Rattus norvegicus: one gene and its partner. The protein of the gene in region 1 binds, or shares a complex with, the protein of each later gene. Links are inferred from orthologs where the notes say so. Each region holds a gene or a part of one and is shown on either strand. Other genes may lie near its edges.

Region 1 (4,333 bases):
GGCAATAGGAGACCCTGTCTTAAAACAAAGCAAATAAAATTACCACCTCCCCCCCCCCCCCAAATCCTGTAGAATGCTAGCTGGCCTCTCCATTCCCTGACCTTACTTCACACGAATGGTTCCCATGTTACTCCAGTTACCACTTACTTGGTTGTAGCCATTCTCCATGATCTAAAATCTCCTAGATCTCAGTTCTAGCCATCCCACATCTGTTCCCCTTTTACCTCATTTACTGTGCACACAGCCAGCAATGCAGTAAAGGACACCAGCCTCATAACCGTGAGGAAGTGGATTCCCCATTCCTTTTAGAGAACAAATTTAGCAAGGATAGCCTGGGCTACATAACAAGATTCTGCCTCAAAAAAAACAAACAAAACCGAAACAAAAAAAAAACCGATAAATTTGTTTTTTCACTAACAGTATGATTTGTGTAAAGGCTATTCCCAGTTGTCAGCTTGACTGTATCCGATATGCCACATGCATTGTAGGATTTTACATATAGCTCACATACAATGTATGGTAATTTTATATATAAATTAACATTTATACATATTAAATTAACATATATGTCACCTTTCTTACTTATATATCATTATATATCACAAAAATATTAGCACATGTGCATATATACACACATATGCATACACACGTTAATTTAATATATATGCACACACATGTGTACATATATGTTAAGTTAGTATCGATGTATCACTGAAATGGTGCCAGCTGAGAAAGAAGAGACTTCTCAAATCTCCATTTGGAAGGGAAAGGGAGAAGGTAGGCAGGACACTCAATACTAAGTTACCAGGGTCTACCCAGAGACCACATTAAGCCATATACTCTGAGCTTTAATCACACAGATCTCTCTAATTGAGTCCAGAGGGGGAACCAGCTCAAGTTTTAACTAAGACCCCGGGTTATTCTGAGTGGGCAAGCAAGACTGTTGTGAAGCTTGAGAGAGTTTGGCCTCAAACAAAAGCAGGTGTGCTATGTTAAAGCAAGACTGTGAATTAAGGCAGGGACAGGAAGTCGACAGAACAGACTATAGGGCTTCGTGAGTCGATGGACACAGAGACTGAAGAGCAGTGTACAGACCCGCTGGTAACAAGCGTGCTTCTGGGTTTGTTCTGGGCTCGGTGCAATGGCGCCTTTGTTTGGTTTAGCGTGTTCTGGGCGATTGGAAGAGCCCTCCAGAAGGCTCTCACAGATAAGAACCTCGGCAGGGCTTCCTAAGCTTTTCCCACTCACAATCCTTTTCTGCCAGACAAGCTTGGCAAAGCACAGGTACACTGAGAAACAAAGTCGGCATGCAAGACATTTATTGCTAAATCATAAAGAATTTGATTTTAGAACAATTCTCCAGAGGCTAAACGCTGGCTGCTCTTCTGGAGGCCCTGAGTTCAATTTCCAGCACCCATAAGGCAGCTCTCAACCACCTAGACTATAGTGGCACGGGATCTGATACACTCTTGTGGGTGTGCAGACATACATGCAGTCAAAATACCCATATACAATAAGTAAATAAATAGATATTTAAAAAATTCTTTGGTATACATAATTTTGCTCTTAAAGATGATAGTAAATCTGCATACCAATGGATGCATAGACTCATAGACTTACTTATTTTAAAATAAGGAATTAAATCCTGGCTGCAGGTTGCTTCAATGTTGTTCCCTTTTTCAGTTTACCAATATTTTGATTTGCTATATCAGTGCCGAGAACACCACTTTGCATAAGTATGTTGTATGAAATGGTAGGAGCATGTATAGAGCCATACTGGGAAAAGCTGAATAACCTCACATCGAACTTATTTAATAACTTTTGAATGAAACTCAAGTCGATAACTCAAGCAGCCATTTTCAGTATCAAGCACCTTAATGCAATAGAACCCAGAGAAACACAAATTTCACACTTAGGGTACGGACGCGCTGAGGAATGATTTAGGAAAATATTAAAAGGTTTTGTTCTCTGCAATTAAACAATTATGTTTCCACAAGTGTAGAAAGGTTGCACATATGTTAAATCCTAACACAGAACACCCTCGATTCTGAGTTGAGATGTTTCAGGCATTTGCTGGGTAGTGCACACATACTGCTCTGAACCTCGCGCAGAGAAGTCGTGAGGGAGCAACATTGGGTGCTGTCAGAAACATCTTGAATTCACAACGCGTTTGCCCACTGTCTCTAAGAAACATCCCCTTTCCCCTTTTAAACTGCTGTCAAATTTTCTCCTACATTTGTGGTTGCGACCTATTGCTTAAATAGGGGTTAAAACATGATGTGTAGAAACCCTAGTTGTTCGGCCGTGTTTTTCCTTTGTTTTTTTTTTTTAAGCCATAATTTATTTATTTATTTATTTTTTGGCCATCATTTTTTTGGTTTGTTTGAAATTTGCATGCTATAAAATCGCCCGGTCCCTAAGCGAGCACAGCAGCGACAGGCTTGAAATGGCTTGTCTGAGAAACCGTTCCCAAATCGCGCGGGAGGGATGCAATTCCACTCCACGGCTCGGGGGGTTCAACAATTTCTCTTGACGTGGCTGACTCCTGGGAATTGATAGAGGGTGTACGTAAGAGCCTAGGTTCGAATCCCACTTCCCACTCAGGAATGTAGGCGGCCAGGCGGAGCGAGCAGTGCGGGGTGACCCGGGGCGACCTTGAACTTCCAAGTCCTCCAGTGTCTCCGCCCTCCCTGATCCACTCCTGGCCACGTCCACTCACTTCTCGGAGAGTCCGGCCCAGCATAGTCCTCTGAGTCAGCCCAGTACCACAGGATCCCAGAGCAGAGGAAGAAGTCAACGTCGGTCACCGGCGTTACATGGGCGCAGACATCTTGGATCCTCACGCCCCCTCCTCAACAACGAGCGCCTCGATTGGTCGATTTCCAGGATGCGGAAATGATCCCTGCACACGATTGGCTCGCGAGCCGGCGGCAGGAGGCTGCGCGCGGACAAGCAAGGAGACCGCGGCCGGGGTCGCCTCGGGATTGCAAGCCCTGTTTGCTCGTCCTGCTGAGGACTCCCTGCTTGTTTGCTTTTTTCCTTAATGGGAAGGAGAGCGTAAGGAAGGAATGGCCAGAGTACTGGCTGGACGCCATTTCTGAGTGGGGAGCACAGTAGCAATTCTATTTTCTTCTGTTGCTACTTTAGGTTGAGCTTGTTTCTGAAAGCTCCTCCTCCCTTAATTGACCAGTGGGTTTGGCAGAATTTGGCTGAATTGAAGCTTGTTCGTTTGACCCGCCCCAGGTCCTCTCTCCGCCTCCCCACCCACGTTCCTCCTTTCTTTCGCTTCTTTTCCCTTCCTTCCTTCCTTTTTTTAATTTTTTTTTTTTTTGAGGACACGTTCTCCATCCCTGCGCAGGATGGAAGTTTTGAAGACTTGTGTACTTAGAAGAAATGCTTGTGCCGCCGTGTGCTTCTGGAGAAGGAAAGTTATCACGAGGCCACCATATAGAGGCATTAGTACTACGTCTGCGAGGAGCACTGTCATGCCCGCTTGGGTGATAGATAAATATGGAAAGAATGAAGTCCTTCGATTCACCCAGAACATGATGTTACCTATCATACACTATCCAAACGAAGTCATTATCAAAGTCCATGCTGCCAGTGTAAATCCTATAGATGTTAACATGAGAAGTAAGTTGCCCAGGTTTTTTTGTTTTTGTTTTTTTGTTTTTTTAAATCAAATTCACTGGGTACACGGGTGTTTTGTTGGTTTTGTTTTGAAACAAGGGATCGTTGTCTAGCCTAGGCTGGCCTCCAACTCATTGTATACACCTGAGTAGTCTCCACTCTGCAGCCCTCCTGTTCTGCCTCTCCAGTCCTGGGATACAGCAGGTGTAGACCTCCACACCTAGTTAATGGACTACGTTTTGGTTGGCTTGAAGGAATCATTTAGGTTTCTTATTACGTGTGTTTATTTTGTGGTTGGGTGTGTGGAACAGGGCCCAAGTGGAGGTCACAGGACATCCTTTGGGGTGAGTTTTTTTCCTTCTACCATGTAGGCTCAGGGGATTAAACTGACCATGAGTCTTGGTGGCAGGCACCACTGTAGGCAGAATGATCCAAAATTGTGTAGGTTTCTGATAAGATCCCTGCAAATATTTCCGAAGTTTCGACATCACGACTGCCAAGGTATACTTTAATCTTTTATTGAATGTGTTTGCTTCCTTTCACACTCAAATTGGGGCTGAGAACTGATTTGCTACTGTTGATTTGCTCTGTGGTAATTTTAGGGTCCAGCACAGGTTCCAGAGTTTGGTTATGTTTCTCCATCACTTCAGAGTTTGTGTTCATGTAATTCCTGTATCCTTCTTGCTGTCCCACTGTTCACAGC
Region 2 (4,512 bases), on another chromosome or scaffold:
CGCCTAGTGTGTGTTTGAATAAAGTATTGAAGTAGTTGACTGCAGTGAGATGTCAGTAAAGCTGGTCCCTGCATTTGAGAGTTAAGGCTTCTAAGTCCCAAGTCCTGGCTTTTCCAGTGAAATTCTGAGCCTGTTTCTTGTATGGAATTGGCACTCTTTGCTTTCCCAAATCATCTAAGTCATATATGATAACTGAGATATTGCATACAAACTCCTAGCCTATAACACAGGTACATTAAGGCCTTTTAGATCAACTCAAATAATACATTATTAATATGTAGACGTCTACTAGCCAGTTGGGGCTTTTACTGCAATTATGGCTGGTGCTAAAACTGCTGATCTCCTATCGTTACTAGGATGTGTCCAGTTCAGACAAGCATTTAAAACAAGTCAGGGGCTCAAGAGACAGCTTATGAGGTAAGAGCATGTAGCTCTTACAGAGGGCCTGGGTTTGGTTCCTGTACCAACCTGGAGGTTGACACTCCAGCTCCAGGGGCTTGCACAGGCACCCTCTTCCGACCTCTGTGGGTTCTTGCACACATGTGCTAGACTCTCAGGCACATACAGTTAAAGATTAAAAGCGCACTGAAGTCTATAGCCTGAGAGGCTGGGACTCATGAGGCCTATTTTTTTTGTAGTCCTACAAATGTCATATTAAAATGACCAGTGGGACTCATTAACCTAAAACGACAAAATTTATGGTAAGAAATTCAGGCCACTGAGTGACAATAACAAGCTCAAATTCGGGGTTGGGGATTTAGCTCAGTGGTAGAGCGCTTGCCTAGGAAGCACAAGGCCCTGGGTTCGGTCCCCAGCTCCGAAAAAAAGAACAAAAAAAAAAATAAAATAAAACAACAAGCTCAAATTCCAGCCACTACATGACAAATATTGCTTGTCTTTTTTTTTTTTTTTTTACTTTTCCCTTTTTAGCAACTGCATTTCTTTTTTTTTTTTTTAAAAAGATTTATTTATTCATTATATATGAGCACACTGTAGCTGTCTTCAGAAACACTAGAAGAGGGCATCGGATCCCTGTGGCAGATGGTTTTGAGTCACCATGCGGTTGCTGGGAATTGAACTCAGGACCTCTGGAAGAACAGTCAGTGCTCTTAACCACTGAGCCATCTCTCCAGCCCGCAACTGCATTTCTTTAGTTTCTCCTAGAAGACAAGAAATCCTGACTCTTGAAAATTACAATTCTAAAATTTTGTATGCCGCAGAGATGTGTACTATGGTGTATGTGGAAGTCAGAAGGCAACTTGTTCAAGTCAGTTCTCTTCCACCATGTGGGTCTTAAGGATCAAACTAAGATCATCATGATTGGTAGCAATTGCCCTCACCCGCTGAACCCACCACACCATCACCACCACTGCCGACTCCTGTCTGATTCTATTTTCTCCCCAAATAAATTAATGAAATGTTTATTTGAGCATTTATCAAGTATTTATGCAGTGCTAGACATTAAAAAAAAAATCCGGGGCTGGGGATTTAGCTCAGTGGTAGAGCGCTTACCTAGGAAGCGCAAGGCCCTGGGTTAGGTCCCCAGCTCCGAAAAAAAGAACCAAAAAAAAAAAAAAGAAAGGAGAATTAGTAGGAGAAAAGTAGGTGGGATAAGGAGCTGGTAAAAGCAAGGACTGAAAATTGTGGGGAAAAAAGTAACGGAGGGAGAACTCTGGAAGCTGAAAGCATGACAGTGCTGGCTTGGAGAGATGGGCAGAGACTGACAACCAAGAGCCTGCAGGCCTCAAGCAAACTTTTTTTGGCTTCAGGAGCAGTGCCACATCTTCTGAAGATCTTGGATGGGGAAATGACATCAGGTCAACCGCTGCGAAGTACTGGGTAATGAGGTGCGGGGTAATGTTAGGCAAATAGTGATAACTTCTCTGCATCTGAGCATCAGATCAAAGACCGGAAGGAATCAGACTGGAAGGTGAGAAGAACAGGTGACTAACACGATTTAAACTTCGCAAAGCATTTCACCGATTTCCTGAAACTGATGCTACGTGGGTAATACAGGCTTATAATTAGCACTGATGAAACAGCCAGATTCTATCTCCAAAAACAGGTGAAGCATAACTTGTTATTTGGATGTCCCATATTAGCATAAAACTGATTTGAAGATACATACGTACATACATATATGTATATGTATGTATGTATGTATATATATATAAATATATATATGTATATATGTGTAAATATATATATATATTTCTTCAGCTATTTAATCTGATGCTCAGGTAGGCAAGTGAAAACACCTTAGAGGGAATGAACGTGGTTAGTAAGCCGGTACAGGCTGGAGGCGGGTCCTGAAGGAACAGTACACCCGAGAGGGTGGTAGGGGCTCTATGAAGTAGGGGATTTTCGGACTTTGTTCCTATTTACATCGAGACTGGGAAGACTAGAGGATTCTAAACGGGAGTGACAGGATCTATAATGAACTAGGGGAAGAGTGAAGCCATCCTCGCGGTGACCTGACAAATTTCCAATTATGCAAAGAATCTGAAACAGCCTCCAAGGTGCCCGAGTCAAGACGCCGAGGCCGCAGCCGGGAGCTTACCTGTCCTCCAGAACCGACTCCAGGGGCTCCACCCCGTCGGTGTCCACGGCGTGCAGCTGGTCGGCAAAGGCCACGGCTTTCTCTAGCCGGTCCACCGCCTCGCGGCTGCTGAAGTTCACCAGTGCCAGCCGCTCCAGATGCTCGACTACCGCGGCGGACACGCGATCGGTGCCCTCCGGGACTAGGCGTGGAGCCTGGGTCTTCGGGTCCGCCGCCTGGACCTTTCCGCGTGGACCCACTTTGGAAGCAAAACTTCGGCCCCGGTCCAGAGGAGCCCGAAATTGCACCCTCGCCGCCTGTGCCCACATCTTTGCTTCTCGGCCTCCGTAGCGACAAACGGTGGGGCGACGTGCGCGCGCGTGACGACATTAGAGTGCGTCGCCGTCACTGCAGCTGCGGTCGCCATGAACAGCGTCGGGGAGGCTTGCACTGACATGAAGCGCGAGTACGACCAATGCTTTAACCGCTGGTTTGCTGAGAAGTTTCTCAAAGGAGACGGCTCGGGGGACCCGTGCACCGACCTCTTCAAACGCTACCAACAGTGTGTCCAGGTGAGCTTCGCCCGGACCAGCCGCAGGGCTGCAGCAGCCCTCTTCTCCGCCATCCCACCGAAATTGCTTGGGTGTCGCCGCTTGATACACTGGGATGTTTTCGCGGTGCTTTGCTTTTTACATAGTACATTAGTATTTTGTTGTTGTTGCTCATTTGTTTGGTACTTATTCCAACCTTGCAAGTAGTCATAATTATTCGTATCTTTAAAAATTGCCGTGGCCGGGGCGGTGATCGCGCACACCTTTAATATCCTAGCACACAGGAGGCAGAGGCAGGCGGGTCTCTTGAGTAAGAGGCCACCCTGGTTTACAGAGTTGAGTTCCACGACAGCCAGGACTACACGGAAAAACTCCGTCTCTGGGCGGAAAAAAATGTATGTGTTCCCGTCCGGGATATGTGTTCCCGTCCGGGATAATGTCGGAGACAACTAACGGAGTCAGTTTTCTCCTTTCACATTTATGTGGGTTCTGGGGATAAAGTTCAGGACACCAGGCTTGGTGACAAGACGTTCTGTTATCTATACTTTACACATGGAAAAACTCGTACTCAGAAATAGGAAGTGATTGTTCAAAGGCACTGGAGTCTGGTGACCTCGATTATTTTGGTGGTGTCATTTCACTGTTAAGAGTGGATGTGTTTACCGTATGTTTTAGACTGCTAAGGAATTGCAGAGGTCCCGTTTTGTTACGATCTCTTCGTTGCTCTGTTTTTCCTCCACCTGTTGTACCAATAAGGTTTGATTTCAGGCCAGCACTTTTTTTTTTTAAAGATTTATTTATTTTTATTTATATGAGTACATTGAAGCTGTTTTCAGACACACCAGAAGAGGACATCGGATCCTATTAGAGATGGTTGTGAGCCACCATGTGGTTGCTGGGAATTGAACTCAGGACCTCTGGAAGAGCAGTCAGTGCTCTTAACCACTGAGCCATCCCTCCAGCCCTCAAATCAGCACTTCTAACCTAAAACCATCCCCTGGATTCCAGAAGCTACCTTTAGCCAGTTCTCAGACAGTGAAGGTGACTCAAGGTCACATAGCCGCTTAAACTGAGATTCATATTAAACACTGTCACTAAGATAGAGATAGGTACCTGAACTGACCTTCCCAAGAGCAGGCGTGCATACCACACAGGACTTACATGACAGTCTGCACGTCGGTGCTGCTTGGTAAACCAGTGCTAGAGGTACTCACTTTTAATCCCATGACTCAGAGGCAGGCAGATGTGAGTTCTAGACTACCCGGGGCTACACAATGAAACCTTGTCTCAAATAAAGGGTGCCCCTTGTATTGTGGGTTTCAAGCCATTCCAGTTCAGTCTGGTTTACCTCTGTACCATTATACTTCAGTTACAAAACATGGACTGCAAGCTTCCGTGGACTTATAGTACATTTTCTTCCTC

Evidence for each region.
Region 2: Qrsl1 (region 1) and Gatc share a complex: the UniProt entries of both Homo sapiens proteins name them as parts of the heterotrimeric GatCAB amidotransferase (AdT) complex. The link is inferred for Rattus norvegicus from reciprocal best matches to the Homo sapiens genes QRSL1 and GATC.

Annotation. Positions count from the first base shown.
Region 1 is NC_086038.1:48,961,972-48,966,304, forward strand, and holds the start of Qrsl1 (glutamyl-tRNA(Gln) amidotransferase subunit A, mitochondrial), read right to left. Parts: upstream 2,842-4,333; 5' UTR 2,744-2,841; coding exon 2,720-2,743; intron 1-2,719. Other genes in the region: Rtn4ip1 (reticulon-4-interacting protein 1, mitochondrial), read left to right, coding at 3,360-3,633. UniProt on the Homo sapiens protein: Allows the formation of correctly charged Gln-tRNA(Gln) through the transamidation of misacylated Glu-tRNA(Gln) in the mitochondria. The reaction takes place in the presence of glutamine and ATP through an activated gamma-phospho-Glu-tRNA(Gln).
Region 2 is NC_086030.1:46,929,185-46,933,696, reverse strand, and holds the start of Gatc (glutamyl-tRNA(Gln) amidotransferase subunit C, mitochondrial), read right to left. Parts: upstream 2,878-4,512; 5' UTR 2,869-2,877; coding exon 2,561-2,868; intron 1-2,560. Other genes in the region: Triap1 (TP53-regulated inhibitor of apoptosis 1), read left to right, coding at 2,965-3,111. UniProt on the Homo sapiens protein: Allows the formation of correctly charged Gln-tRNA(Gln) through the transamidation of misacylated Glu-tRNA(Gln) in the mitochondria. The reaction takes place in the presence of glutamine and ATP through an activated gamma-phospho-Glu-tRNA(Gln).